4 linked regions of the Astyanax mexicanus genome follow. The main gene of each other region encodes a partner of the protein of the gene in region 2 in a complex. Links are inferred from orthologs where the notes say so. Each region holds a gene or a part of one and is shown on either strand. Other genes may lie near its edges.

Region 1 (7,504 bases), on a different chromosome or scaffold from region 2:
ACAACATTTAGTCAGTTTAGCAGTTTATTTCAGAAGAAACTGAGACCTGTGGGGCAGAATAATATGCAGATTAACTCTTTTTTTATCACATTGTTTTGAATTCTGTGGCCTTCATACAACACATGATGAACAGTTCAGATTTTGTGCTGCAGTTTTTCTCCTCCTGATGGGATTTGATTGGATGCGCTGTGTGTTGTGTTTGCATTTTCCTGTTCGAGAGATTTCCTTCCTTTTTATTATGTTTGATGAAAGTGAGCGAATTTCAGCGTATCAGAACTCTTCCTCTTCACACTCTGATATTAATGCAATTCCAGGAGGATAAAGATGAAGTGATGATGTTGAAGAAAGATAATGTTGAGTATTTAATGCGTGTGGTAATCAGACGTACGTTCAGTCCTGCGGGTGCATAGCTATCGGATATTGACTCGTGTCTATGCTACCTCACTTCCTGCTTCAGGGGCTGAAAAAAGGGTCTAACCTGATTTAAGCTTCTCTTAAAATTCTAGAAAAGGTGCAATATATGTATTTGTTTGTTTGTGAGTCTTTTTACAGTTTTGTATATTTTGTATGTTGCTGACTTTTATATATAATTTTGTAGTATGGATGTATGTATATTATGCCAAGATCAATGTTCTGTTGTCAGTTAAATAAATAAGCTTTTCTACTGAATTAGTATTATTATTGTTTTATTTAAAGTTTGTTTGGTGCAATAAATAATTAACCATTGTTTGTAACTATTGATGAAGTAATTCAGAGTATTTACACAAGTTGATGTTTTAACTTTTTGGATGAAGTTTTACCAGCTTGTGAGGTTTATTGAGGGAATTATATACATTATGGTGCTTTTTTACACACAGGATGTGGTTTATAGGACCAGGTAATGTTTCTCTGAGCAGAATAAGGGGCTTTACTTGCGTTCCTCCACCCTGTAGAGGTGAGTTTACCTGAGGATCAGACTGAACACAAGGAGGTTTTTGTTCTGAGTGACTGAAGGAGCTCAGACTCTGGTGTTTCTGGTGGTTCTGATCCGGAACAGCCCTGGACAGGCAGTTCCACATGAATCACTCTTCTATAAAGATGATGCGGTTTGAGTCCACAGCACATCAGGTTTCTCATTTATAACACAACTTTAAATAAAGATGACAGTTTTGGGCAGTTTGTTGAAACAGTTGTTAAAATCTCTATATTTAGATTTACAATAGTTTAAATTACATCAGTTACATTTACCTCATTTAGCTGATTTACAGGGTTATTTCTGTTTAGTGTATTAATGTACAGTAAGTTACTGTAGCAGAGCAGTGTCAGTATTTACAGCATCAGTCAGCAGGTTCAGTCTGAGTGTAGAAATGCAGTATATTCAGTATTATGTAATAGAACTAATATAACTGATGTAACTGATCTATAAATGGGTGAAGAACACTTTCGTAACTGTAACCAAAGATCACATCTCTAGAGGTGGGGGGTGGGGGGGGGGAGGGGGGGGGGTTGGCTGTGTAACGGGAGACGGCTGGACCGGGCGGACCGGGCCGGTTCAGTTCGGGTCTGAGCTGTTAGTGTAGCTCGCGGTGCTGCCAGAGGGGTCAGACCCGATACACAACACCCTGGATCCGGTTCTGCTGAGTCAGCGGACAAGCCACGCCCCCACCGAGGAGGCGTGACAGACAGGAGTACCCAACCTGCATCTCTTACATTCCAGCTCCTACAGTAACATCAGCTTTACACTGAAAAATTAGCAAGTAAAATTTAGTATATCACTGCAGGACATGATGATGATGATGATGATGATGATGATGATGACCGGTCAGTTTCTTTATCTGTATTATGTGAGAACAGTATCGGACTCTGTAGCAGAACTGTGGGCCCGGTGTTCTGGTTCTGGTCGGGGTTCAGACCGGAACTCTCCCTCCTGTTGTTTATCTCAGATCAGCTACTGTTCCTCCCATAAACAGGATCAGTCTGAACTGGTCTGAGAACAGCCGGCTGGAGGGAACCCAACCCCCCGGATCCTCAGCACCACTATACCAAATATTTTATCAGGGCAGATCAGGGTTCAGTCCGGCCGCCATGACTAATGTGTGTGTGCTGGTGGTTCAGCAGTTTCTGGGTGTAAAGATCCACACGGTGCCGTTAATGATGGGACGGGTGACCCTGGGTCCGGCGGGGAGCGTCAGCAGTTTCCTCTCCTCACCGGATTGTAAAAACTTCCACCTGAGTTACAAATACCTGTAAACCAGACCCTGACGTCACGACCGATCCGACCCGACCCGACCAGCGCCGCCGGGGGAACCAAGCTCAGTCTAGAACCTCAGTGTTAAACACGCTGTTTACCTCAGTCTGAGTCAGAGAGAGAGAGAGAGACAGAGAGAGAGAGAGAGAGAGAAACACAGAGAGAGAGAGAGAGACAGAGAAAGAGAGAGAGAGAGACAGAGAAAGAGAGAGAGAGAGAAACAGAGAGAGAGAGAAAGAGAGAGAGAGAGAAACAGAGAGAGAGAGAGAGAGAGAGAGAGAGAGAAACAGAGAGAGAGAGAGAGAGAGAGAGAAACAGAGAGAGAGAGAGAAACACAGAGAGAGAGAGAGAAACACAGAGAAAGAGAGAGAGAGAGAGAGAGAGAGGCTGGTTCTGTTTCTACTCTCTAAATATAAAAAAATATCTCCCCCCCACATATAGTATATTTGAATATAGAGTCATTATTTTATAGAACATTATATGGTTATAATTATGATAATAGAGAATATTATTATATTACATAGCCAACATAAATGTGTCACTTATTGCAACATATGTATGTGATGTATATTCAAACATATTATTTTAATCATATACAAACATAGCTGTGTAACATTTTCCCTGACATGCCAAAAGTCATGGGACAGAAACATAACTTGTGTTCCATGACTTATGGCATATCCCATGTGGAGCTAAAAAGGAAAACTCTTCATGAACATGAACTGCACACTGCTGTCCCATGAGTTTTGGCCGGTCAGTGTATTTAAATATAAGTGAAGATTAGATATTTACATATAATAATAATGTATTTGTGCTGTAGATCAGTGGGAGGGGACGGGGGCGGGAGCTGCAGCAGGTGGACGGCTGTGTTTATATTTATGCTGTATTTTTAGTGTAACTGAAGAAATACTGAAGTCCAGCTGTAGCAACACTCCTCTCATTTACATAACCTCTGACCCCGCCCCCTTCACCTCCCAGCAGGACAACAAAAACCAGAGCATCAGGTCTACTCCCACAACCCCCCACTGGATCATCCCCCTCCCTCCCTCCCATCATCCCACAGCTTCCACCAGCGAATTACACTGTAGAATAAAGTCATCAGAACTGTTATTAATTAAATCATTTACATAATTAACACAAAATAAACACAAAAACACAGAATCTGAGGGCTGTTTTCAGATTGTAGGAATCGTGTAGGATTACTAAAGCTGTGGGCTCCAAGTGGTCCAACGGTCTAGGAGATCGCTGGTTTGAATCCCGCTCATGTAGCTTGCCATCAGCTGCCGGAGCCCTAAAAGAGCACAGTAGCGCTCTCTCTTTCCCCTCAGTACTCCTAGGGTGATGTGGATCAGCACAAGGCTGCGTCTGTGAGCTGATGTATCAGAAACAAGTTGCTGCGTTTTCCTCCGAGCGTTAGCACTGTGATGCTACTCGGCAATGCTACAGCATCAGCAGCAGCTCAAAAAGAGGCGAGGTCTGACTTCACATGTATCGGAGGAGGCGTGTGCTGGTCTTCTTAACCCTCCTGGCGTTGGAGCATCACTAGTGATAGGTGGGGGGAGTCCTAATGAGTGGGTTGGGTATTTGTCCGTGTAAATTTAGGAGAAAATGGGAAAAAATTGAAATAATTTGTAATAAATAAAGGATCACTAAAGCTTTGTTTTTTTGTGTTCTCAGTATCTGCTGTTATCTTCACCTCCTGAATACTGTTTTATTAATCACTGCACTGACTGTTGGAATAATGCATATTTTTACACATTTCTATTTATCGTATTAATCTGTCTAAATAAATACAATTTGAAATGTTTGTCATATATAAAGAAATACAGGCTGTTTTTATTATGTGTGTTCTATCTCTCTATTGGTCAGATATTATCTTTAGGTTTATGGCGCTCCCCAGTGGTCATTAGTGTAAACTGCATTAGATCTGATGGACATGATTATTCATAAACTGAAATTACAGTTCGGTCTGATTTTATAGCTTTAACCACAAGACTAATTTACTACAACAAAACATTATTACTGTGATTTTTTTTATATTAAACATTTCATTTCATATTAAAGACTATAAAGCTCTACAGGAAAACATGCTGAATTATTTTAATAATAAGCTCCAGCTCATCCCAATTAAATTACTCTCAGTTCATCAGGTTTAGATCAGGGGATTAATGTGGAGCAATAACTAAATAAAAAACTATGTAAAAAATAAATTATTTTTTACTGTTTACTACAGAATTATATACGTGTCCCGCAATCGTTTTCTTCTCTTATATTTATTCTATACATTTATTTTAGTTATATATTAGATACAGATATAATAGATAAAACAAAATTAACGTTTCTGTTATGAAGAACTTGTATGAATATATAAATGTATTGTATCTATATAACATCATAACTGCAACTGTTGAGGAGGTTAACTTAACAGACCAATCACAGCGTAGCGTCGCGATGACATCACAGTGTTTGTAGCCTAGTAACCCGGATGGTGGGAATAGAGCTGCAGCTAGCTCCCTAAAGCCTCCTGAATTAAACTAAATTTATAAATCCGCTGATTAATCTGATCATATTATCGATCCAGGGAGATGAGCTTGTCGATCAGGTAACGCTGATGAACTCTGGGTCTCACTGAATCCGCGGGAAACGGATCTTTAATTCATTCAGCCGATTTAAACCCTGATAACTAATCCCTGCTAATGCTACTGAGCTAATGCTAATGCTAATGCTGCAGCTAATGCTAATGCTACTGAGCTAATGCTAATGCTGCAGCTTGTGCTAATGGTGAAATCTGTGTTTATAAATTATATTAATATATAATAAATGTGTTAAAGTAAATCACACTGTTAGATCAGAGCTGTATCTGATTATCTGATATTAAAGCTTTTAGTCTGAGTTTAATAATAATCTGAATTTTACAAGATAATCTGAGTTTATATCAGTTAAATTTACTGCATCTGATTTTGATTAATAAATATAAAGCTGTGTTTAATTTGTGTTAAAGGCCGATATTAGCTGTGTGTTAATTCTGTTAATCAGATTAATTTACTGGTTTCTCAGAAAGAAAAACACTCAATAATTATTACTTTAATTTACACAAATTACTGTGTAAAATGTGAAAAAATTTGACTATTAACAGACTTTTTTCTTTGTTTTTATTTTAGGGTTCCTTATATGTGACACACTTTTAATGAAATTAATCACACATAAACAAATGAAATAGGTCATTTTACCATTACACATATGAATATTATATTTACCCAAATTGAATAATGGCATTAATTACAAAAAGCTTTGACTTTTTAATACGAGTTTAATTCTGAGCTGTAATCTCCTGCAGGACTGAACTACCCGCTGATAAAACGAAGCGCAAGAAGAGGAGAGAACTGACTGAAGAGCAGAAGGATGAGATAAAGGAAGCGTTTGAACTGTTCGACACAGATAAAGATAAAGAAATCGATTATCATGAACTGAAGGTGAGAAATTTATTTATCTTCATCTTCTAGTCCAGTTTATTATCTCTGTTATTCCTGAAACATATTAAATATATCAGAACATGGTTAATATGGTTTACGTTTGTGAGCAGGTGGCTATGAGAGCTCTGGGCTTCGAGGTGAAGAAGGTGGATGTGCTGAAAATCCTAAAAGATTATGATCGAGAAGGAACCGGAAAAATAACGTTTGAAGATTTTAGAGAAGTTGGTGAGTTCATGTTTTGTGAGAGTAACACATTTATCTGGGGGATATGTGGGCGGAGCCTTCTCGCCTCAGTTCAGAAGGACAATTCACGATCGTCATGTATAATTATTATTTTGTGTTTACAGTAGTTTATTCTGGTTTTTGTATATTTAGTATTTTTGTTTGTATTTATGGTAATTTATTGGGGTTGTGGGCGTTTCTCAGTGACAGACAGGATCCTGGAGCGAGATCCTAAGGAGGAGATCCTGAAGGCGTTTAAGCTGTTTGATGATGACGAGTCGGGGAAGATCAGTCTGAGGAATCTGAGGCGAGTCGCGCGAGAGCTGGGGGAGGACATGAGCGACGAGGAGCTGAGAGCCATGATCGACGAGTTCGACACCGACGGAGACGGAGAGAGTGAGTATTTACATATTTACACTGAAAATCTGCACTTTTACTTCCTTCTAAAAGACAGACGGACAGACAGACAGGTCTGTTCTGTTATTATTAAAGACCTTCTGACAAATAATGAATTATGAATAAATCTGTAAGAGCGTTAACTGTCTCTCTCTCTCTGCAGTTAATCAGGAGGAGTTTGTCTCTATAATGACGGGAGATTCCTGAAGAGCTGCTGTTGAGATGATGACTGACTGAGATGATGTTTTTTATCTCAGTGTTTTGGTTCAGATTTCCTGTTTTCTGGGATTGTTCAGTTTTCTATTTGTATATAATGAAATAAATCATTTTATTACTGTGATTAGTTTATATTAGATTATCTTGTTTTGTAGATACAGGACTATAAATCATAGTAAATACTGTCTGCATTGTTTTTCAGCAGGTAAAGGAATTATGGGATAGATCTGAACGGTGATTTCAGTGGTTCTGATTGATGTTTTGTGTATTTGTTTACTGCAGGAGTGTAACAGTCAGACAGTAAATAGTACATTATTTGTATTTTGTTTATTTATAAGGCAGTGCAGTGTTTTTGTCTATACATATTTTTTAGAATTTCATAAATTAAACATAATTTTTTCCCCCATTTTTTATGTACAGTAAAATCTGCTCTGTGTTCTTGAATAAAGTTTTGTAGGTTAATTGATTAGCATTGTCCTGTTCTGTACAGTGAGGTATTCTGTTTACTCACTATTAGCTTTATTTTGTGGTGTAAAAAATACATCAGTGTGATTTAGTATTATGTTCATATGAAGTGATTAAAGTGATCATACGGTTAAATAATAATAAATAGCAGATGTTTCATTAGTTTCCAGCAGGGGGCGACTCTCCCGTGTTCATTACATTACTGTCCTCATTTACTCTCAACTACAGGTCACCCATCACATTAATAACATAACAAATAACATCACATATTACATTATAAAACTTTAATCAGAACTCTAATAAAAAGAAGCAGAAAATATTGAAGGGTCAGATCGCCCGCTGTAGTGTCACCTGCACAGAGTCTCACCCTATTGGCCTCACCTGACTTCCTGCAGCCCGACATCACTTCCTGCCCCTGAGTATAGAATGGGCCTGACTTGAGTCCCAATATCTTACAGACTAACCAGTCTAACAATTAATTAATCAATCTATTATTCTGTCTGTC
Region 2 (7,887 bases):
TGGATTTTACAGGCATCTTTTAAATCAGACAGTGGGGGAGGAGGCTGTTCCTGATCGGAGTGCTGAAAGGTGAGATATGGACAGTGAACATCTAGTGTCATCACTAGTGAAAGTTAAAGCTAAATTAGCTTTAATTGTATGTAGTAGGTTAATAACATGTAATACTGTTCTAGGCACTGAACATCTCTTTATTGCTTTATTGGTTAATGCACTGTTAAAGTTCAAACTGTAAAGAGACCAATCCTGAATTCTGAGTTCGTTACATTTGTGTAGTTGGGGTGAAAAGGATCTCTTCTGTATTTTTTTGGCACTTAACTTTTTACACTTGAAATCACACAAAAACTGTAAAACTTACTACAACATGCCATACTAATGTATGTCCCAGGGCAGAGAAACCCAAGGAGCAGAAGTCCCCAGTTGTGGACTCCCCACCACAAGAAAATGACAGTGAAGACGAACGCCACAGCGATGATGACCAGAAGACTTCAAAATCAGAGTTCAGCAAGACAAGCAGCAACAGCAGCCACTCCAAGAGGCACTACCGACAGAGGTCTCCTTCCTCAGCCAGTGGCGATGAACAAGAGAAGGAAAGGAAACAAGAGAAGGAGAAGAGGAGACACAAAGAAAAAGAGAGGGACAGAGCAAGAGAGGACAAGCATGGTCATCGCAAAGAAGACAAGGACCACAGAGGAGAAAGGGGCCGACATTGGGACAGGGAGGAAGAGAAAGGACGAGAACGAAGGGATGAAGACAGAGGAAGAGAGCGAAGAGACAGGGACAGGGAGAGAGACAAAGAAGACAAGCATGGGAAGAAACACAGAACAGACAGCAGCCCAAAAGAGCGAGCACATGAACGAAATGAAGAAAAAGGGAGGGATCGGGACAGACACAATGAGAGAGACCACCACAAAACAGATGACAAGGGCAAAAGGGATGCAGGAAAAGAGAAGGAAGAAAATACCCAAGCAGATGAGAAGACGAAAGAAAAGGATGCACAAGCTGAAGGTGGTGCTGAAGTTGAGGCAGAACCAGGTCCCAGCAAATTTGCAAAACGCAACAGTGAACAGACTGTGAGCTCTGCCCGGGAAAGATATTTGGCTCGACAGATGGCTCGATCGGCTGCAAAGTCCTACATTGAAAAAGATGAAGACTAAAATGCACACAACTGTGCAGGGACTGTTTCACATATGGTGGATGTTGGTAACTAGACTAACCTGAGGGAAGTCATGTTTCCACTGTAGTTGCCATTTAATTTCAAATTGTACAGTAACTTGTTTGTGCTTATTAAAAAAAAGTATGTGGTTCATTTTCGCTAAAATTCAGTTTTTTTTTTGTCAGAGACTTGGTCTAATTCACAGGGACAGAAGTAAAGAAACCACACTTTTACCCTGTTAAATGTTCATGTAAACGCTGTCAAGTTGGTGTCAAAATACTACTGATGTGCTGCTATTCACCAGCTATAAAGTTTGATCTAAAAAAATGTACATTTTTGTACAGGTGCACAATGTAGTTCATTTGCCTTAATGCGCATATGAGCATTAGTCACATTACTGGATGTGGAGGGTCAGACTTCCCTAGATTTATGCTATACAACTTCTTTGCAGCTTGATAAAAAGAAACTGGACCAGTATCTGCCCATTGTTAATTTCCCTTGGGTTTTCTTAGCTATGTGACCAAGTCCTTAAACTGCAATAGACCAGCATATTCCCCCCTGAAGTAATGAAACCTTAAGGCACACCATTATTTTCACCCTTCCTTTAAAAAAAATCCACCAGAGTAAGGAAGGTTGAGGTATTTCTCAGGCAAATTTGTAGGGGTGCTATTCTAATCTGCAAGGAACTTTTCATTTTGGCCACAGGTGTTATTGTACCGGTTCAATTCCTTGTTTCTTCCTTGAATCTACACCATTTAAAACCTTGCCTACACAGAGCTGGTGTGGCTGCACAGGTTTTTCAGCCAAGCAGATGCAGTTTAATGACTGCCCACCTGATTAAACAAGTTAAATTTGGTGTGCTACTGACTGTTTAGAATGAAGTTTAGAAGTTTTTTTTTCCTTTTACTGAATTATAGCATATAAAAGTAATGAAAAACCTCATCAAGTAATCATTGTATTTGCTCTGGAAAATACTAAAATTCATGGAAAAGCTTAAACCTTCAAGATGAAGAGACACACCAATGGTCAGGTTAACAAGTTTATTTAATTAAAAATTTTATTCCGCATGCCACACATGTACTGTTGCAGGTTTGATTTTCACGTTCTTCCGCTCAACAGCTTTTACTGCTTTGTCCAGTGCCTGAGTGGAAGATGGAAAAAAAAATTAAAACCAAGTACAGAAACCAAATTTAACAGTTAATTAAAATTTCTTAAAACTTCAGAAAACCGAGTATCACCACTGAACAATCTGCCGGTAATTCCAGCTACTCTCAGTTTTGTTTTCATCACAAGTTAACATGAGGCATTTAACAGAACAGGGTTAGCAGTGTACTCACCCCGCCTTACTTAAAATCTTCTTGAATCCTTGGATCACATGGTCCCTGTAAAAATTAACAAGTTGTTAGATTGAGATCACATACTTTTACCTTAAAGTCTGCAAGTGGCTATTGTGTGTTCAGAAAACCGATGATCACCACTGAACCTTCTGCCGGTAATTCCAGCTATTTCAGTTTAGGTTTCATCATTACACCATATCAGGACTACATTTGTTTACTAACTAAATGAATCTCGATTTAATTTCTTTACTACCAAGAATGCTTAAATCCCACAGGGGGGCAGGGATGTAACTACAGCAGTAAAAGTGATAGAAAGACTGCATTAAAAAGTGGGGAAAAATAAAATTACATATCAGGCATTAAACAAATAATTAAATCTTTAATAACATATATAAAAGTGCACATGTAGATGGCATGTTTAATAGTAAATTCTGCAACCTGCAAGTGAACTGTGGACATACTATTAACATAACCTCCATAATTAACCAAATCTTTTAGCCAAAAAACGACTTACCTTATTAACTCATGTAGTAACGAGCAATTGTTTCTTCCAGCACGTGGAAGGAGGTTCTGCCTGCAGTGAATGAAAGGGTGAAATGGTAAACATTAACTAGTACTAGTGACTAAAGGGTTACATTATTAGGTTAAGGTCTCTCAGATTATTTGAATAAATGAAATCGTCAGTTATCGCATAAGACGGCACTTCCTACTCAAAGTTTTCTTCACAGAGACGTGAAAAAACACTAATTTACGAATTAACGTTTCTCACCTTTTAATAATAAGGCTCAAGCCTCAGTTGTTCCTTTCCGCCCTGCACTGTGGTGGATTTGGACATAGTTTATTGTGAGATGCAGGGCTGCAGCACCATACCTATAGGAAACACATTTAAAACAGAAGTTAAGATACCATAGCACTTCTGTAACCGCGTTCAGAACTACAGAAAAGTATCAGTATCGATATTCATTATCGATTATATATGTGAAGAATGTGTAACGTTACCTTGTGCCGCATCGTGCCTCCTTCAGCCACGTGGTTCTCCTGAACTCTTCAGTAACTAGGTTTTAACTAATGTAGTAAGCACAAATTATCTCAACTCGCGCCCATCGAAAGCCATTGTCGAGTGAGATATTTCTCCATTAATGCGTAAAAACTGGAAACACACCCATGGTGTTTGCTTATACAGACTTTAGCCATCTCTGCACTACACTCTTCCTCTCGGAGCCGTATGAGAAAGACTGAATGGCGTCGTCCTTCCAGTTATATCCGAGCCGCCTGGTGACGTTCTGCTCATGTTCCGCTGCGAAGCACACAGATCTACTCCGTAACACCGGATATACGGGATTTTTTAGTTAATTTTATTTTACTTTATTTTAATGTACACATTCTTATATTATAAATACGTATTACATAGAAATTACGTACAAAATACTTATTCAAAGATCAGGCATTACACACAGCAAAAAGTATTAGAAGTAAGACATTTATATAAAATAAAATTATAATAAAAACAAACTACGGTATAACCTACGGTATATTTAGACATTCACCTTTAATTTATTTATGTTCTAAAATAAACAATGTAATTATAAAAGGCTATTTTTAAATCCATTGAAATCAATATATATATATATATATATATATATATATATATATATATATATATATATATATATATATATATATATATATATATATAATACGTTCTAGCATTTAAAACTACAAAAATATATACATCTAGAAAAATGTACTGATGTAAAAGCACAATGGGACATTTAAAAATCGAAATTATTGTGGACAGCATTGCAGAGCATACAGTATTTAATATGATATAATTAACCATATACTATTATGTATTATAACAAAATATAAATGTTAGTAATGATAGATAGTATTGTTCAAATCTAATAAGCCTGTTTATGCATATCTGATTATTAAAAGCATCTTTTTGTGTTTATTACAACCACCAAATCGTTGGAGCATTACGCCACTTAGTTGACTACAAAACATATATAACTTAATATAATAACTATAATAATAATAATAATAATAATAATAATAATAATAATAATAATAATAATAATAATAATAATAATAATAATAATAATAATGGGGGGGCTAATGTTTTATGATTTATTTACTTCATCTAAAGAAATTGCGAATTAAAGATGTATTTATGAATATAACATTTTACAGTAGGAACAAAAGTGTGGATGGTTCCTTTTATGTGTTGTATCTCAAATAAACTAAGAGAAGTCCACTTTAAAACATTCATTCTTTTTATTATCTCAAAGAATCGTCATTATAAAAAATAAATGTATTTATTTTGGATGTGTGGAGAAAATGACAGAAGCGGGGTGGTGACGTCCGCTGATGTGCGGGTCTGACGTAGGTTTGTACTGCTTTAGCTTCGCCTGTCGTTTCCCTCCTTCCACACAGTGTGTTTCTCAACTCACACAAATGCCTGGAATCTGAGGGAACGGCGGAGTTTGGCTGAGAGCGAAATTTGAAGACCCTGAGAGAAGCGCTAGCAGATCCCGCTGAGACGTTCTGAGCCGCTGTGTGTGCGCGGTGAGTGTGTGAGGAGAACTGTTGTAGCTGAGCTGGTTTTCTGAAACTCCGATGCTAACGGCTTAGCAAGCTAAGCTAAACCTAGACTAGCTGAATAGTTAGCCTGCTGCCGCTTCAGCTGTGTGTACAGTTCAAAAGTTGCGCAACATGAGTGTAGTTTACAGCTGAAAATGGGTTCTGCTGAGTATTCGGCGCGTGTTTGTTTATAATTTGTGTGTAAAGCGGGGCAGTGTTTTGTTGTTTATAACTGGAGTTGTTACAGCTCGTTAAGCTAAAAGCTAGCTAGCTGGCTAACTAGCGTTAGCCTCTTCAGTAGCGGCGGCCAGTGTTCACGCACATGATGTGGGAGCCTCTGGCGCTGTGTGTAGCTTCATGTTTTCTCCTCTGTTTACGTTAATTTTCATGTTAACCTGTTTTTATGTGATTTAAACAGTTAAGAAACGCCACAAACATTAAATTACGAGCATTACTGTAGCTAGCTAAGAGTTAGTGTTAACGAAAACAATGTAACTAGCTTAAGCCAGCAGAGAACTGCCTCTGGTCGGCGCATGTTTGAACACACTGGTTTTCTCAGGATAAATCCGGTCACACAGCGAGTTTTACTGAACCAGACTGGTTACAAACTAGCAGGGTGTGTTTTTCACGTGTTGTTTATGTATCTAAAAGCATGCGTTCCATGTTTACTGACTAGATAGCTATTTTAGCTACACACGGGCCCGTTTCCAACATTAGCTAGGCCTGTTTCTGGCGCTCAGGATTATCTGACTAAAGTTTGCGACCAGTTGCTGAAATGTAGGGGTGACCACTATTATAAAATATATTGTTTTACGATATTTAAAGACGTTTTCATTATACAAGATGTTTATCATTATACATTTTATGTATATATTTCCTACTGTGATGTAACTACTAACGTAATATATTTAGTTATTGTGTGTTCTAGGGCTGAAAGGTTAATCAAATTATGTACTGTTTAATACTGTTTTAATAGCATTTTCAAAATGGAATATTTGAGATTTTAAGACTTTACATATAGCAGAGAAAATCTAATTAGATATACATTTATTTCTGCCAGAAACCTGTTAAAAAATGATATTGCAGCGATTTTCATGTTTTACACTTTTTCTTAACTGAAATACAGTTTAGAGTTTAATATAAAAGCTGCATGTAGGGTTGAATTGGGGCTGCTTACTGTTCGTAAAATATGTATATTTAAAAAAAATACATTTAATGTAATGGAAACAATGGCTTCTGATATCCCTAAATATTATCCAAACAAAGAAAAGTTAGGACTGTTCTATTATTGTGACCTTCTTTACAGCGACATTTGTATATTAATTAGCAATCGTGCAATTTATTTTCTATCTATTTTTTATTAATTTGATAATTGGTGATGTTTAGGTCGTCATGGCTTATGCTGTGTCTTTCTGAGCTTTTAGGGACATTTTAATATTCTTTTACTCTGTGATATTTATTGTGATATTTCCTCGGAAATGTACAGAATTGACAATCATTAATAATGAAACATTGCTCAATGCACTTTGTAAAGTAAAGTAAATTATTTCTGGCAGATATCAATTACTTGGTATAAATTTTGGTAGCGATGCCAATTAAAATAATGAGACCGTAATTGTTCCTTTTAAATCACGCAGCGAAAAATGGTTATGTTTGCAGAGTAGAAAAAAGTGTCCGCACCCCTACAATAAGTTATAAACGATGTTTATTGTTATATTTTGACCCAAAAACAAAGGCGTCATTGCAGAAGACTCTATTCAAACTCTATTCTGTTCAAACACTGTTTTAAACACTGTTTCATCGGTAGTATGGTGATATAGTTTCATTTTAAATTCGCTGGACGTTTCCTATTAAACATATCTATTTACACACACTGTAATAAATGTTGGTCAGTTGGTTAGTATTCTGCAAGCACTTAAACCCACAGTATGCTCAGAAAATTTATTTTTTTAACAAAAGTATGATAAAAATAGTATGATAAAAATATTACTGTACTGCCCACCCAGTTGCTCAGACTACCTACTATTGTGTTATTCTGATGCCAGATAACCAGTGCTTTTAATTAGGAATGTAACAGCCAAGCAGGCTTTGAATGCTACAGTGCATTTTCTGACAATGTGATAATAGCTATGTAAGGTTTCATGTGATGATTTGAGAAATGAAAGTAAAATCTTCCTCTGCTGTTAAGTAGCCTTAAGTTATCCTCTTATACTCTCCTTACTTTCTGATGTTTTGAGCACAGATGAGTTGTGTACTGAGTTGAATAATAAGCTGCATGTTTGATCACAATACAAAAACTGACCTTTTATCACACTGCTGTTATTTGTGGCAGACATATGCAGGGTGTATAGCAGTCCAAGATGTTTAACAAATCATTTGGTGCTCCCTTCGGGGGAGGAACAGGAGGATTTGGGACATCATCCACGTTTGGACAACAAAGTAAGTAAACTGTGTAATTAAATATCTTTACTGTGAGTGTCTGGATTTCTTCTCTATGTTGAAAAAAATGTGGTTAGCACCAAGTTGCTAGCAACCAGAGTAAAAACTATGTAGTTTGCCTTTTTCCCCCAACCAAATGTTTGAAAATGAATAAGTCTAATGTTAAAAGCACAAGAGTTCTCACATAATGACTGATTGCATTACTTTATTTGTCTTTGGATATCCTTTAGTCATGACAGCTGCTATTCTATAGGATTTTTCATGAATAAATGCCACACACTAAGATTCATGCAAAGATTGTGTCCAATTATGATGTCAATTGTATCCAGCAGAATAGGTTGTTTTAAAGATTACCTTTTTATAACATTGAAACAT
Region 3 (7,996 bases), on a different chromosome or scaffold from region 2:
TAACTATGACTTAATTTACCCTGAACTGGTTATTTTTTTGGTTTAATGTCAAAATGAGTGAGGGGTAGCGTTAGTCCAGCCATAGCTCTTTAGAATAGCCTGCTTAGCTAGCTAGCTAAACAATATCCTACTGTGGGGAACCTGATCTTACAGGCGTGTACACTTGCATGCTTAGCTGGACTGTATTTGGCATTTCACGTTCATGTTAACAATAATTTTATGTCTGATTTGATATTACAGATTAACGGTGGAAACAAAAGTAAGGTTAAAAATACTTTATGAAATAGTGTTTCTTTAAGACACTGGCTGGCATGCGAAAGTTTATAAAGTATGCTGTGCCCACCTTATTTGCCTGGAAAGATCAGTGAAGCCTGTCAGGAGGGCTGTAGTTAGACATACTGCAGGGTATTTTTCACCAGTCACTAAATTATTTACTAACTAGCTAGCAAACTAGCTAACACATGAGTTTTTATACAGCAAACAAAGGCGATTACCTAGCTTCCACATCATGAACCTAACAATTAATCCAGTTTCTGGAGCCTTTTATTGAAACAACCCAGGGAAATCTTGCACTCATTTTCGGACTATTTCTGATTTCACCGTTAATTCAGGGAGGTGTGCAGGGTTAGTTGTCCACACAGGCGCTGCCATTTAAACTGCTGGCTCCGTTGCTACCTTGGAATTTCCGGTTTAGGAGCGAACCCACAGCCCTTCTTTTGTTTCAACATGGCCGCAGAGTGAGTAAGGTGCATTGGTTTGTAGAATTGTAGTAAAGAGATGGAGCGTTCCTTTGTCAGGTGTTGTGATGAATTCTAGCTCTTTGTCAGAATCTGACTCCTCCTCACATCCTTTCAGCACAGCACCAATTGTTTTTTTCTGGTTTGTTTACAGTCTGCCTTATCTTCCTGTTTTTGGTCTGAAAGTCCAAACCATCTAGAAAAGTGTTCATATTGCAGACAATCCGGACCATGGTTAAGATGGCCACATCTTTTGCATCTTTTGATTGAACAAAACTTTGTGGCTTATGCTCCCTCACCCATTACTTGTTGAGCTAAGTGTGAATGCACCCTAAATACAGTATTGGGACTAGTGGTGCGAATCTCTCAGTGACTGGCGATTCGATTCAATTCGATTCCGATTTTTGGGGTCACAATTCGAAATTCAGAAACGATTTTCGATTCTTGAACGATTTTTTTATTCAAATGGCCTATACATTTTGTGTAAATTATGTGAGAAGATAAAAAGATGAAAGGACAATTAAAAAAAATAGAAGTTTTTTTTAAAACAATAAACTTAGGATCCTTACTGTATTAAATCTTTTTGCAACATACCGTACTGCGGAGCTCATCTACTGTTGCACAAAGCTTTTTAACTGTACCGCGGAGCTCACCTACTGTTGAACGGAGCTTTTTAACTGTACCGCAGAGCTTTTTAACTGTACCGCGGAGCTCACCTACTGTCGAACGGAGCTTTTTAACTGTACCGCGGAGCTTTTTAACTGTACCGCGGAGCTTTTTAACTGTACCGCGGAGCTCACCTACTGTCGAACAGAGCTTTTTAACTGTACCGCGGAGCTTTTTAACTGTACCGCGGAGCTCACCTACTGTCGAACGGAGCTTTTTAACTGTACCGCGGAGCTTTTTAACTGTACCGGGGAGCTCACCTACTGTCGAACGGAGCTTTTTAACTGTACCGCGGAGCTTTTTTACGGTACCGCGGAGCTGACATACTGTCGCGCTGAGGTTTTTAACTGTACCGCGGAGCTCACCTACTGTCGAACGGAGCTTTTTAACTGTACCGTGGAGCTTTTTAACTGTACCGCGGAGCTCACCTACTGTCGAACGGAGCTTTTTAACTGTACCGCGGAGCTCACCTACTGTCGAACGGAGCTTTTTAACTGTACCGCGGAGCTTTTTTACGGTACCGCGGAGCTGACATACTGTCGCGCTGAGGTTTTTAACTGTACCGCGGAGCTCACCTACTGTCGAACGGAGCTTTTTAACTGTACCGCGGAGCTTTTTAACTGTACCGCGGAGCTCACCTACTGTCGAACGGAGCTTTTTAACTGTACCGCGGAGCTTTTTAACGGTACCGCGGAGCTGACATACTGTCGCGCTGAGGTTTTTAACTGTACCGCGGAGCTGACCTACTGTCGTGTGGAGCTTTTAAACTGTATCGCGAAGCTGACATACTGTCATGCGGAGCTTTTTAACTGTACCGCGGAGCTCACCTACTGTCGCTTCACCCCCAAAACATTTTTTTGAAAACGAGAAACGATTCTGAATCGTTCAATGTTGGAATCGCAATTCGAGCTCGAAACGATTTTTTACTGCACCACTAATTGGGACATTAGGTTATTTGTTGTCTCTTTAAAAAACAAGTGTATTAAATAAGAGTTCATCTTTTTGTTGGATGAACTGATTTGATTGTATTTAATGACGAGTGTTGTTAAGGTCAGAAGGATGCAGGCTCACCCCAACTCATGACAAAAGTATAATCATCACTGCAGTGCTTCTTTCATTTACATTTTCATTTATATACATCCATTTCTGCATTTCAGGCCTGCAACACATTACAAAGAAAGTTGGGACAATCCAATTTGGGTCTAATAATGAGGTAATAATAATATAATTAAACCCAGGAGAAATTCTGGTGTTAAAGGGCAAGACCACAAGCTTAAGCTTTAATCATTAAATACACAATGCCACTTTACTTTGCAAAGCAGTCTGCTCCAAAAGTTTTGGAACCAGTCCCTTTATTTCTGCTGTAGACTAAAAAATTTGAGGTTGACATTAAACATTGGGATTCCAGTGTCCTCTTTAGCAAGTAAAATGCATGCAGTTTGGAGATTGAATATGTCAATCTAAAACCTTTCACTACTTGCCTGCCGGCAGCTATTTTGCATAGCATATTTGTCACTGTGCTGTGATGAGGACAGGTCGTACTGATGCGGGTAGTTTCGCATTTGCTCACACAGCTGCTCCTTAAAACTTTTTGCCATTTAGGACCTGCTGAGTGTTGCACTGCCTCCTAGTGGTTGTGTGTGTACTGCACCTCCTGAACGCATCACATTAATTTCTGAAGATGCTCAAAACCATCGCTCCAAGCGAACGCAGAATATGTGAGGCAGCCATCATGTGTATACATTAGAGATGGGATGATCGATCGGCGGTGTATCGGTATCGGCCGATTTTCAGCCAAAATACGGTTTCTGCGTATATTCCTCAGATTTTAGCCGATCCGATTCAGGAGTTTAAGGTTAAGCAGTTAAGCAGTGCTGTGTGTGGTTGGGTGGTGAAACTGCTCGCTTACTAGTCGGAGCTGCAGCAGCAGCACAAACCCCGCTCTCTTCACTCAGTCAGAGCTACAGACCAGCCACGGGCTACAGAGCTCAGCCAGTCTGGAGTTTTTTTCAGTTTTCTTAAGATCATCTCTGTAGGAAATAAAGGTTTTAATCCCACTAACCAGATTATACAGCTCTCTACAGTCCATCTTTCTGCCCAACCAGTGAGCTCACAAACTAACAGCAGCAGTTTAGAGCATCCGTCACGGAGTCACTGCTCGGATTACATTATAAATTAGTGCGCTGCTCACCTCAGGATGTTTATAACTACGGAGTTTAGTGGACACGCCGCCAGGTTAGACTGTTGAAGGCTACTGAAGACTATTAAAGGCTATTGGAGGTTATTGAAAGGGTTATTGGGGGCAGAAATCAGTAAAGGCTGGTTAGATAAGTAATTCACGTCTTCGCCCCTCGCTGCGGTGAAACTGTGACTAGCGCTGTCACTGTGATGTTTATTAACATCATTAAAACAGATTTTGTTCTTTCCAACTATTTGTGAATTTAGTTAAAAGCTCTGTTTTATTGCTGTAATGTTACTTACTAAGAATATGGAGTTTAAATCAGGTCTGTGCTCTTAATTACAGTTTATGAGGGCAGACAGAGTCAGGCTGGATTTTTTTTCCCAATCTAAGCTCTAGCTGGAGCGATGGATTACTGTTGTTCTTGTTAAAATATTGTATTATTATCTATATATTAACAGTAAGTGAGATATTTTAAGCAGTAAGCTGACAAAACAGGCTGAGGCGGCTGATGTTGGGAGACACATTCCTGCGGTATTGAAGTATAAATATAAAAATTTTGGTGTCTTTTAAATATTTACACATTACTTGTTTCTCTCCTGAAAAGTGTTTATTTTGGTCAGTAACACTCTTGTGTTTATTTACTATCAGCGTAAATTACCAGTGTTTGCTTAGGTAATATTAGGGGAATCTGTACCAGGTTTGCCTGGCACCTGTGTGGCATTAATGTGGCATTTGCCTCCGCCCAATATGGGTATCAGCGATCGGCGATTGGAATCGGCCCCAGAAACGCTTATCGGTCCATTTCTAGTATACATAAAAATAACAGCAAGTATATCTCTATAGCCGAAGCCTTATGTGGACCATGTTCAGAAGCGTGTTGACTACTCTGGGCTGAGAGGCATCTGGGATGGTCAGGGGAAACAATTTAAAATCTTTTCTTGAAGAAATTATCTGGACAAAAGGATACAAAAAATATGATTTAGATGATGTAATGAAATGTAATTATTCTGACAAGGGTACTGCAGTCCTGACCTGTCCTCAATAGAAAAACGTGTGTAGAATAAAAAAAAAAAAAGAAAATACGAAAATTGTCCTGTGCTGTTACACACCTTAAGGCATGTTTACAACTGTGCTTAATCCTTAGAAACTGACCCATTTATAAATCAATTATGTAAATTAAAACCATATTAGTTGGAACTGTATGAGGCACTGAATCATTTTCTAAGGAATCAAGAGTTGAAAGAAAATGAAAGAGACTCAAACCCTTGACATACATGTTTGTTAATGAGCGCCACAAGCTCAACACTCTCAGTTCCTTTATTTAACACGCACGCACGCACACACACACACACACACACGCACTTACTTACTTACTTATGCTGTGTAAACATTTTAAAAAGTTAAAAGTGGTGTTATGAAACAGGGTAGGATGAGAGTCGGCTAAAGTAATGCACTCATCATGCCTAGTGCCTACTGTACAAGCCTGTGCTATGATCTGGGGTTGATGATGTTGTTGGTCAGATTTAGTTTCAACAACAGTATGTGCTGAAAGAATGAGGTCAGCTGACTGCCTGAATATACTGAATATAGACCAGGTTATTCCATCAATGGATTTTTTCTTCCCTGATAGCACGGGCATATTCCAAGATGACAATGCCAGGATTTATCAGGCTGGAATTGTAAAAGAGTGATTCAGGCTGAAATAAACTTTTAAAATTTTATACCACATAATATGTAAAAAATTAAATAGCTTTCTTGGAACTCATTGTGGAGAGATGTGGACAGTTGTCAAAGTAGGGGATTTCACTTCAACAAGGCTTTCTAGCAGCTCAACACCGTAACACTGTTACACGAGTTAAACAGAACAAAGTAAATTGCGTTATTATAATAATTTAAAATATCAGTGTTTATTTCCAGACCATCATTAGAGAGAGCTGTGTGGGCAGAATATGCCACGCCTGATTAGTGAGGCCATTCATTATTCTCTGTTGATATTAGACTTTCCCAGTATTAGCCTCTCTCTGCCTCAACCAAGAAAGGAGGAATATATAATTTTTTTCAACATGAGAAACATTTTGTACACTTTGTCTGCAAGATTAACCTAATTACAGCGATTTAGTCCCCTGCTTTAACCTCGACTGCAGCACTATGTTGATCCTCAAGCAGGAAGAATAAAACAGGTTAAGAAATGTGCATAGGCATGCATGCAAGTGTGTGTTTGTGCTTGTATCAGCAGTTTGATGATTTAAAGATTTCATTTTAATTTAAAATGGTAATTCAGGTAAAACTCTAATCACAGCCCAAACATAGTTAATCAGAAAATAATTCTGGAGAAAATAATACTATATTAACCATAACTATGCTGGGCACAGATATAATTTAATCCGTCTGTGCAGTGAGCACACCAGTGAGTACCCTTAAAACACACACGCGGTGATTAGAGCTTAGATTGGGCCCAAAAAATAGACCTATTATTTAATAAAAATGTTTATTAAAAACAGCTGCACAGCCCTACAAGTCAAAGGCGGACAAGTGGAGAAGCTTGCGTGTGCCCAGAGCTGCGTGATTATGACGTTCTAACTGGTGCAACTTTTTTAAAACAATTTGATTTGTTACTTACAAGGTTATAAATGTTTAGAATTTTTCGTTGTAGTTTAATTTTATTTTGTTTCCAATTCCGTTAGTTTTAATTAGTTTTTAGAGTGGGGTTTGCTATTTTTTATTAGTTTTTACACATCACACCAGAGAGATCAATCTGAGAAACACATAAACAAACTCAAAAAATCAATAAACTTTACAGGTTTCACTAATTTTTCAAAATGATCAACTATGAGTGAGTGCGAGAGAGAGAGAGTGAAAGAGAGAGAGATTTATCAGTTCATCCTCCCACGTGGGGTGTTGTGGTGTATGAGCTACTCACAGGTAAAGATACTCTCAGCTGCTTCTCAAATGTACTTTAGCTGTGTGGAGTTTATTCCATATACTCTATCTCCTGTTTCTCTACGAAACATCTGCTTTTATCTCCCTCACGCTCATATTCTAATCCCATACTGAATTCTGCAGTTTCCTGTTGTTTCCTGATGTCAGGGTTAACGTAAGCGCTGTAAACAAGAACTAACGCCATGGACCGCGAGGTGCCGCGCGCTGCCAAAATTTGCCTCCTGCAGAATCCGGCTTCCCTTCGCGAACAGAATAGCCCCAACACCGCCCGTGGTAAAACTGCTGAAGTGGAAACAATGCTTATGAATACACAAAAAACAAAGGGTATTCTATCAGTAATTCCAATTCATTTTAGTCAGTTTTATAAAAACACAGTACAGTTTCAGTTAGTTAGCTTTTTTTCTTTAATTACTGTTTTTATTAGTTTCAGTTAACTAGAATATTTTTTTCATTTCAGTTTTTGTTATTTTTCATAATTTTTCATTTGGTTACTTAGCTATATTGTGATAATCACGCCAGAGCTTTATATTAAAAAATAGCATTAAAAAAACAGATGCCTACGTCTCAGACTATTTTCTGGAGCCCGACCCGACCCGGCCTGAGAAAAGTGGTGGGATATCTCAGGCCGACCCAGCGCGGGCAGAGAAACTAAACTCTAACAGTGATACAGTGAGCACACAAACCTGGAGCAGTGGGCTGCCATCATATTGCCAAGAATATTGTTTTAGGTCATTATTGCATACCCCTAAATGTTCTGAAAACATTTATAAACATTGATTTAACTGATACAAATATACACTGATATATAACATTTAAGTATTATTAATATGTCTGAAAAATGTTTTGATAATGTGCCAATGTAGTTATCATATTGTTGCTGCAACAGTGTACCCAGAGAATTTAACAAACTAAAGATTTTAAGAATCAAAGTCGAGTTGATAACATTCAGAAAATGTTTTTAGTAGCTATGAGGACAAGGCTTAAAATTGGACAATACACATAGATAGCCAGTCGATTCTTCCGTCTGTAATAATGATCAAACGTTTACTGTGTCACCCAGTTCTGTGACTTTCAGTAACTCAAGTTAGACGCAGTTTCTGTTTTCTATAAACATGAACTAAAGGCACAGTTCCAGTCTGATCTAACTGCTGTGTTGAGCTGTGTGGTCTGCTTTAGTTTGTGGGAAATCGGTAATATTTTGCTGAATAGTTTTTCTGAGGGTTGACCGTTGAATCAGCTGGAAAAAGCAGAAGCTGCTCACTCTCAGTATTCTTAGTTATTTCATTTCAGATAAAGTTTCAGAAGTAAAGCAGCTCTCTTTCTTTTTGTCTTCTCTCTCTCTCTCTCTCTCTCTCACTCACACACACACACACACACACACACACACACACACACACACACACACACACACACCCTGAGAGGAGTTTTGAAATCAGAGCTCACTGAAGATCCTGAAACAGAATAGTCAGAA
Region 4 (7,739 bases), on a different chromosome or scaffold from region 2:
TAAAAAAATTATGATTAATTCACAAGATACTAAAGCAACATGGAAAGTGATAAATCAGATGTTACAAAGGAAGAAAGCTGCTATAGAGGTACCATCAGTTATGTCAGATGGTGAAAATCATTTCAATAATCCATCTGATATTGCTAATCATTTTAACAGTTTAAATATGCAAATATTTAATGCAAATATTGGTTGTGAATTAGTAAATAACATTCCCTATTGTTATGGTAACCCACTGGACTTTATAACCAGAACTTTTCCTGTTATATCTTCTTTTAAATCTGTTGATATCCAAGAAATAAGTGATATAATTGATGAATTAAAGATATCTTCAGCTGGTCATGACAATATTTCTGCATTTCTTGTTAAACAGGTGAAGCATGAAATATTGCAGCCACTAGCTTATATTTTTTCATTATCTTTAAAAACTGGTATTGTGCCATCAGATTTAAAAGTTGCCAAAGTTATTCCAATGTTTAAAGCAGATAACCCATGTTGTTTTAAAAATTATAGACCTATATCAATTTTGCCATGTTTTTCAAAAATATTAGAAAAAATAATATATAAAAGGATTATTTTTCATTTAGATTCTAATTCAGTTTTTTTTACAAACATCAGTATGGTTTTCGGAAAACATCATTCTACTTATATGGCTCTGCTTCATCTGACTGACAAAATTACCTCTGCACTAGAAAAAAGTAAATTTGTTTGTAGTATTTTTTTAGACCTTTCAAAGGCATTTGATACAGTTAACCATCATATATTATTAGAAAAGTTACATAAATATGGTTTTCAGGATACTACATATAATCTTTTAAAAAGCTATATCTCAGATAGAAGGCAGTTTGTTTGTGTAAATGGTTGTTATTCTAGTAGAGCTGAATTGCTTTGTGGTGTCCCACAGGGTTCTATTCTAGGACCATTGTTATTTCTTATTTATATTAATGACTTGTCTAATGTTTCCCCAATTTTTCCCCAATAATGTTTGCAGATGATGTAACTCTAATAAATAGCCATTCAAATTTTGATACATTGATTAAGGATGCAAATACTGGTTTAGCTGCTTATGTAACCTGGTTTAAATTAAATAAACTTGTTTTAAATATAAAAAAGTCAAATTATATAATTTTTAGTGGAAGAAAAATGTATTCTAAAAGCTTATCAAAAATTACAATGGAATCTATGGTGTTGCCTAAAGTGTCAAGTTCTAAGTTTTGGGGAATCATTATTGATGAAAACTTAAGTTGGAAAGAGCAAATAGACTGGGTTAGTAGAAAAATAAATAAATCTATTGGTATAATAAGGAGGGTTAGTTATCTGGTTAACACAAAATGTCTTCTTACTCTTTATTATAGTCTTATTTATCCATATCTTTCATATTGTAATATAGTTTGGGGGAGTACATATTCTACTAGTCTTAGTAAAATTCTGGTTCTTCAGAAACGATTTGTCCGTATTGCAACACGATCACATCTAAACACTTCATCTGCTCCTTTATTTCAGAAACTTCAAATTCTCTCTATTTATAATATTAATATATTCCAAATATGTATCTTTATTTTTAAAATTTATTCGAATCAGGAAAATTTTCCAGAACAATTTATAAATTATTTTATTACAAATGCAGAAATACATAAGTATTCAACCCGTCAGTCTTTAGATCTCCATCTTCCTAAATTTCTCTCTTGTAGAGGTCAGTATTCAATAAGATATAGGGGGACAAAACTGTGGAATAATTTTAATCATTTGGCAAAAAAATGTACATCTGTAAAACATTATGTAAAACAAAAGATGTTTAAAAGATCATCTGATGAATGTATTGTGAATATATTTTTTTGTTACATGTTTAAATTGTGATTTTTTTTTTTGTTTGTTTTGTTTGTTTGTTTTGATGTTATATTTGTTATAATAGATTTTGATATCATTTAGGTAGAGGCATTTTTTGCCTCTACCTGCACTATTTTGTTTATTGCTATTTCCAGTTTGTGTTTATTGTTTTTATTGGTGCAAATAAATAAATAAATAAATAAATAAAAATGTCTTTGTCAAATTAGTTTTTTCCAAGAAATTCTCAAGCATTTCTATTGATCAATCCATCCAGAGTTATATACTCAGTGTACAGATCAGCTAAAAGGTTCAAACGGGGAAGAAAACTAAAAATGGGGGTATGTGGTTTTTATTGGACAGCAGCAGCATACAGAAATACACAAAATACCAAATCTTTGTTTTTGAAAAAAATAAATAAAACATTTTTAAATGAGGATTTGTTTAAATTCTTGGACTTTTAAAATGTTAAATGTTAAAATCACTCATGTGACAATGTGCAGATGTTTGAGCGACTACATAAAGAGTGCAAGAGAACTCTGAGAGTAATAAAAACAAATAAGAAGTAAGAAGTAAATCTTACCTGTGAAATTTATGCTACAGAGCATGTAGAGAAGCCAGATGAGTGCTCTATTTAGACTGATAAAGTTAAATAAATCTTTCGTCAGTGTTAATCCAAAAAATACCTTATACCTGAAAAAACATCAGATATTTGTAAATATATGTTCTACAGGTTGATTGAGATTTTTACTTAATTGGGAAAGTGTAAGGGTTTGATGAAATATATTGTTTGTTTGGCTAGTTGATTAGACTGTACTTCTCAAATAATAACAGCAGAAGGATAGTCAACATTATTAACTTGTGGTAGTTAATCAGGGAAATTCAATATAAAAAGAACTGATTCCAAGTCTGAGCATTTCTATTATTCCATTTAACATATCACTATGCACTTTTCAACAACACTACTGCTTAAAGTACAGTAATATTGACTATACTGACGTACAGTTATTAACCTATGACTGTAGAAAAGTCATTGTAATGCACCCTAATTAGTATTTGAAGACTGTAGAAAATACATTTGTGAAATTTAAAATTGCAACCATGAGCTAGTTAATTTGCAAATAAATACACTGGTGTGAAAAGGTGTTTTCTTTATGATTTCTTATTTTTTTGCATGTTTGTCACTCTTAAATGTTTCAGATTAACAAACTAATTCAAAACAACACAAGTATACAAAATTAAATTAAGGTTTTTATTATTAAGGGAGAAAAAAAATCCAAATCTACATGGCCCTGTGTGAAAAAATGTTTGCCCCCTAAACCTAAAAACTGGTTGTTCCACCCTTAGCAGCTACAACTGCAATTAAGTAATTTCTGAATTTTCTGCATTGTACATTAATAGTAAGGTCAACAAACAAAGTGAACAAACCAGTATATTTTCAATATTTTAGATTATTCAAAGTAGCTCTTCCTGCTTACATGACATGCTTTGCACATCTTGTCATTTTTAGGGGTAGTCAGCTTAATGGGTTTGTTTTTTTTTTTACCTGGAATGGCTTTCAGTTAACAGCTGTGCTGAACTTGTCCAGAGTTAAATCCTTGAATTTCTTGTCTCTTAAGTATGGTTGGTATACAGTCAATAGCCCTATTTGAGGAAAGAACTAATCAACTAAGTAAAGGAAAATTACTTTAAGAAATGAAGGTCAGTCAATATGAAAAATGTCAAGAACTTTGAAAGCAAATCACAAGTTAACAGCACCAAGAGCAAACTATATGCTTTAAAGAGTATATTGGTTTGTTTAGCACTTTTAACTGCGTGTGTAAATGTGTGAATAAATTAATAAAAACACTGAATGAGAAGGTGTGTACAAACTTTTGACTGGTACTGTAGACTTTTAAATTAAAATCTTCTCTATACTAAATGGGGTATGTTTTTTTTTTTTTTTTCGAATTTAGTCTTAAATGTCAAAATTGAACTGGCAAACCCATATACCCTCTAATATACAGGCACGTTCAAAAGGCCCCCAAACATAGCTACTGATGTTCAAATGTAAATTATTCTACTTAATATATTGGTATATTTTTATTTTAGATAGGAGATAGATTGGGACCATATTGTGTATAGCTAACGAGTTTTAAAGTTTTTGAGTTTTTTTTTTTTTAGAAACCTTGATCACAATGTCTTGATTTGTTTTTAAATGACAATGCATAAATGTTTTATTCTTTTAATCCATTATGGTTATAATTTTATTAGTTACTTAAAATAATGGTACCATAGATTTGCTTCCTTCCAAATTCCAGTTCTTGGCTCCAACAACAGCTCACCAACAGGTCTCTGCACACAGTTCTATTCTATCACTTTTAGTGTTTAAAACCTGTAGAAAAATGGAAAGATATAGCTAGATATAGTTGCTTTTTGCTATTTTAGCAAAATTCTGTCTTCTGTCTTTTGAAATTAATGGAAAATCCTGAATGAGTAATTAGATAGGTTTTTTACTTTGAGTTTTTAGCTGTTTAGCTCGATTTACCCAATTCATTGAGGACTCCCTTTGTTTACTATGGTTTCTTGTGTCTCCTTATAGTGTGGATGATAGTCTGGACCATTTACAATGTGTGAATAAATAAATAAATACACTAAATGAGAAGGTGTACAAACTTTTGTACAAAATTTAATTTTAAATTTTAATTTGAACTTTTAACTCATTTAACTGTGTTAAATATACCATTAAAATTTACAATAAGAGGTTTTCTGAGTTAGTTTAAAGTCACAAACATTTATACACAGTTCTACGTTGTACTAAATGTTTTTACACAGTGGGAATGACGTGCGTGTGTGTTTCTTTTTAAAGTACGTTACCGCTTAACTCAGTTTCCCAGCAATCTCCAGTGTGTGTGTGCTGTGAGGTAAAGTGTGTGTGCGTGCGTCGTTATTGGTGTGTGCGCGTGAGAGTGCGCGCGCTGAGCTGACAGAAGAGCGCTCTGAGCGCGAGGCGGTCAGCGCGCAAACTTCACTCAGCCATGGCGGCCACCGGAGGAGGGAAAATTAGAACAAGGAGATACCATATCGCTTCTAAACCTTATGCCAAAGGCAAACAGGTAACTAGACAGCCTGTCTCCGGTACGGGGGAGCTGTTGTGAGCGTGTTGTGCCGCGCTGCTCCAGCGGGTTCGTAGCTGGCTTCGGGTTTTTTGTTTTGTTTAGTAGAGACGGTTTTTCGCGGCCTAGAGACTCGGCTGCCTGGCGAGGCCTGGGCTTTGAGTTCCGGGCTCGGCGGGGGAATGTTAGATGAGCTTCGGCTTGTTTGTCAGCTCTTTGGGGGGAGCAGTGTGTGGTTTGGTGGGCGGCGGTGTGAAGAGAAGTGTGACGCGGGGTGAAGTGTAGTTTCAGAGAGCGGCTAAATTCCAATAAATAGCCGTTTTACATCGAAATGTGTAGCTAGTTTGAGAACTAGTTAGCTGCTAATGCTAATTAGCCTAGCTAGCTAACTAGCATTAGCCGTTAGTATGAGCGTCACCACAGCGCTAGCTAGTGTGTAACTAAACCGCAGAGTCTGTAGAGAAGAGACTGCCCACTTTAGCGTGTTTTCCGGGTTTGCCAGAGCCCAATGAATGGTTTTACATGGGGAAATCTTAGTTCAGTAAATCGTTAATCGTTTATACTGATTTAATATTCTGAAAAGTACTTGTTTTTCAAAACATAGCGATATTAATCGTTTCAGTAGCGGAGACTAAATCAAAATTATAATCTTTTAAACTCCACACAAGACTTTTTTTTTTACAAGACTGTAATAACTTAGGGTTGCTGAAAAAAAAACTGTTAGGTTTGCTAATTTGTTAACTATTTTTGGGGTGCAGATTAGTCAGAAATTGCGGGGTATTTTTAATGTTCTCCTTTTTGTATATTGAAGAAAAATAGGATATCAACGTTTCTAATCTTCTATTTTTTCATTTTGCCCCCTTTCTTGAACTCAAAGGTCAATAAAAGTTTTATTTTTTGCATCTTGTAACTAAAATCTGATTGTGTTACTCAACATTCTTTTGTTACTAGTTGCAAAAATATAGAGTAAAACGTAAGTTCAGTTAGTTTAGTTTTTCTTTTTTCCTTAAGTGTTGATTGTGTGGAGCAGAAATAGAAGTTTTATTAATAGTCTTAAATGTCAAAATTGAACTGGCAAACCCCATGTCCCCTGCAGTATACAGGGACTTTCAAAATGCACCCAAACATAGCTAATGATGTTTAGATGTAAATTATTCTTACTTAGTTAATAATAATATTACTTAGTATATTTGTATATTTTTATTTTAGAACAAATCTGGACACAGAGAACAGGAGATGGAGTGGGACCATATCGTTTATAGCTAACGAGTTTTAAAGTTTTTGAGTAGTATAAAATATCAGTTTCAATTAGTTCAGTTTAAATTAAAACAAAGTTGTTTTTTTAGAAACCTTGATCACAATGTCTTGTTTTCAAATGACAATGCATACATTGATGTTTCAATCGTTTATACTACTGTGGTTATATTTTATTAGTCAATTAAAATAATGGTAGCATAGCTGTGGTGCCCTCCAATGAATATTAAGTTCTTTGCTCACCAAAAGGTCTCTCTGCACACAGTAGCAGAAATGCTAGCACCTTTAGTGTTTAAAACTTGTACAAATATGAAAAGGTATAGCTTGGTTGTCTTTGATTATTGTTTAAGCAAAATTCTTTCTTACTCTTTTAAATTAATGGAATATCTTGGATCAGTTGTTAAACAATTTTTACTTTGAGTGTTGAGCTGTTTAGCTCCATTTACCCCCATTCATTGAGGACTCCCTCGTGGGCTCCTTCTAGCGGTTTGAAGTAATTTTCTGATCTAGCGGAGGAGATGGGGAGTGGGCATGCTCTGCATAAACTGACTCTCCCTGAACTCACATTTAGGCTAGCTAGCAGTCTAGCTAACTAGCAAGTTTGCGGTTGTGTGACAGCAACTGCAGCTAAAACAATGCCTTCTGTAAGATTAATTAACACGTGTATGGTGGGATAAGACGGTAAGATAGCTGGCTAAAAGTGTGAAGCAGACACATCTCCCTCTGTTTGCCGCTCTGGCGTAGCTGCGTTCCGGCTGGAAGGCGGCCAGGGCCCGCACATGGACCTCAACAGCATTAGCTAGCCAGGCTAGTTAGCTTAGCACTTTGTGTAGTAGTCAACCATGTTGACTCGGGTTTGCTCTCTCCCGCCTTGCACTCTCCCTGTACATCTTTACGGGGCTAGAATGCGTCTGGAAACTAGGCATTGCGTTTTTACAGTAAATACAGAAAATAAAAATGCTGTATGTTTGTGTTACTGCGTGTTTTCCAGTCGTGTTGAGCGTTAGGAGTCTCTAGCTGAACCTCCGTTATCCTCAGAAACGCATGTGGTCTCCTGCCAACATGCGCCACACTGAGATTTAGCCTCTCAACTAGCTAATATAGGTAATTTTACAATGTTTCTTAAACGACTGTGCGTTAAAATCCATTTTCTCACACATCGCCTTTTCTTCAGTTCTGTAGCTACAATCCTCCTGGGACAGTGAAGGTGATTGTGAGTTTAAATTGAGTTGCAGATATAGTCAGTCAACTAGTTAATTGTATAATTAAATAAAAACAAGCATGTTTTAGCTCCTGGAAGTGACTATTTGCACCCAGGTACAAGTAGCGTTTGCAAACATAGGGATGATAATTTCACCCCTTATTTAAAACATTTTAGTGTAATATACCCTAATGACTGGGAACATCTTGTTTGCTCTTAAAATATAGGTAACTACCTATGTAGAGTCTGGGATTTTTACATTAGTGTGGGAGCCATTAAATAAAGATTTATCATATGGGTAAACAAGTTCTTTGATTTTAAAATTGTATTCAAACAAATCGTATATTTAGGTGTAAGTGAGTCAA

What was found.
Region 1: nup98 (region 2) and cetn3 share a complex: the UniProt entries of both Homo sapiens proteins name them as parts of the nuclear pore complex. The link is inferred for Astyanax mexicanus from reciprocal best matches to the Homo sapiens genes NUP98 and CETN3.
Region 3: nup98 (region 2) and nup160 share a complex: the UniProt entries of both Homo sapiens proteins name them as parts of the nuclear pore complex. The link is inferred for Astyanax mexicanus from reciprocal best matches to the Homo sapiens genes NUP98 and NUP160.
Region 4: nup98 (region 2) and nup153 share a complex: the UniProt entries of both Homo sapiens proteins name them as parts of the nuclear pore complex. The link is inferred for Astyanax mexicanus from reciprocal best matches to the Homo sapiens genes NUP98 and NUP153.

What each region holds. Positions count from the first base shown.
Region 1 is NC_064427.1:165,841-173,344, reverse strand, and holds cetn3 (centrin-3), read left to right. Parts: upstream 1-4,678; 5' UTR 4,679-4,812; coding exon 4,813-4,829; intron 4,830-5,564; coding exon 5,565-5,700; intron 5,701-5,810; coding exon 5,811-5,925; intron 5,926-6,126; coding exon 6,127-6,318; intron 6,319-6,481; coding exon 6,482-6,525; 3' UTR 6,526-6,996; downstream 6,997-7,504. UniProt on the Homo sapiens protein: Plays a fundamental role in microtubule-organizing center structure and function. As a component of the TREX-2 complex, involved in the export of mRNAs to the cytoplasm through the nuclear pores.
Region 2 is NC_064424.1:13,491,134-13,499,020, reverse strand, and holds the start of nup98 (nuclear pore complex protein Nup98-Nup96), read left to right. Parts: upstream 1-4,877; 5' UTR 4,878-5,058; intron 5,059-7,405; 5' UTR 7,406-7,433; coding exon 7,434-7,512; intron 7,513-7,887. Other genes in the region: nsrp1 (nuclear speckle splicing regulatory protein 1), read left to right, coding at 1-69, 386-1,154. UniProt on the Homo sapiens protein: Plays a role in the nuclear pore complex (NPC) assembly and/or maintenance. NUP98 and NUP96 are involved in the bidirectional transport across the NPC. May anchor NUP153 and TPR to the NPC.
Region 3 is NC_064417.1:10,773,319-10,781,314, reverse strand, and holds the start of nup160 (nuclear pore complex protein Nup160), read right to left. Parts: upstream 3,002-7,996; coding exon 2,885-3,001; intron 1-2,884. UniProt on the Homo sapiens protein: Functions as a component of the nuclear pore complex (NPC). Involved in poly(A)+ RNA transport.
Region 4 is NC_064410.1:52,285,156-52,292,894, reverse strand, and holds the start of nup153 (nuclear pore complex protein Nup153), read left to right. Parts: upstream 1-4,735; 5' UTR 4,736-4,841; coding exon 4,842-4,919; intron 4,920-7,739. UniProt on the Homo sapiens protein: Component of the nuclear pore complex (NPC), a complex required for the trafficking across the nuclear envelope. Functions as a scaffolding element in the nuclear phase of the NPC essential for normal nucleocytoplasmic transport of proteins and mRNAs.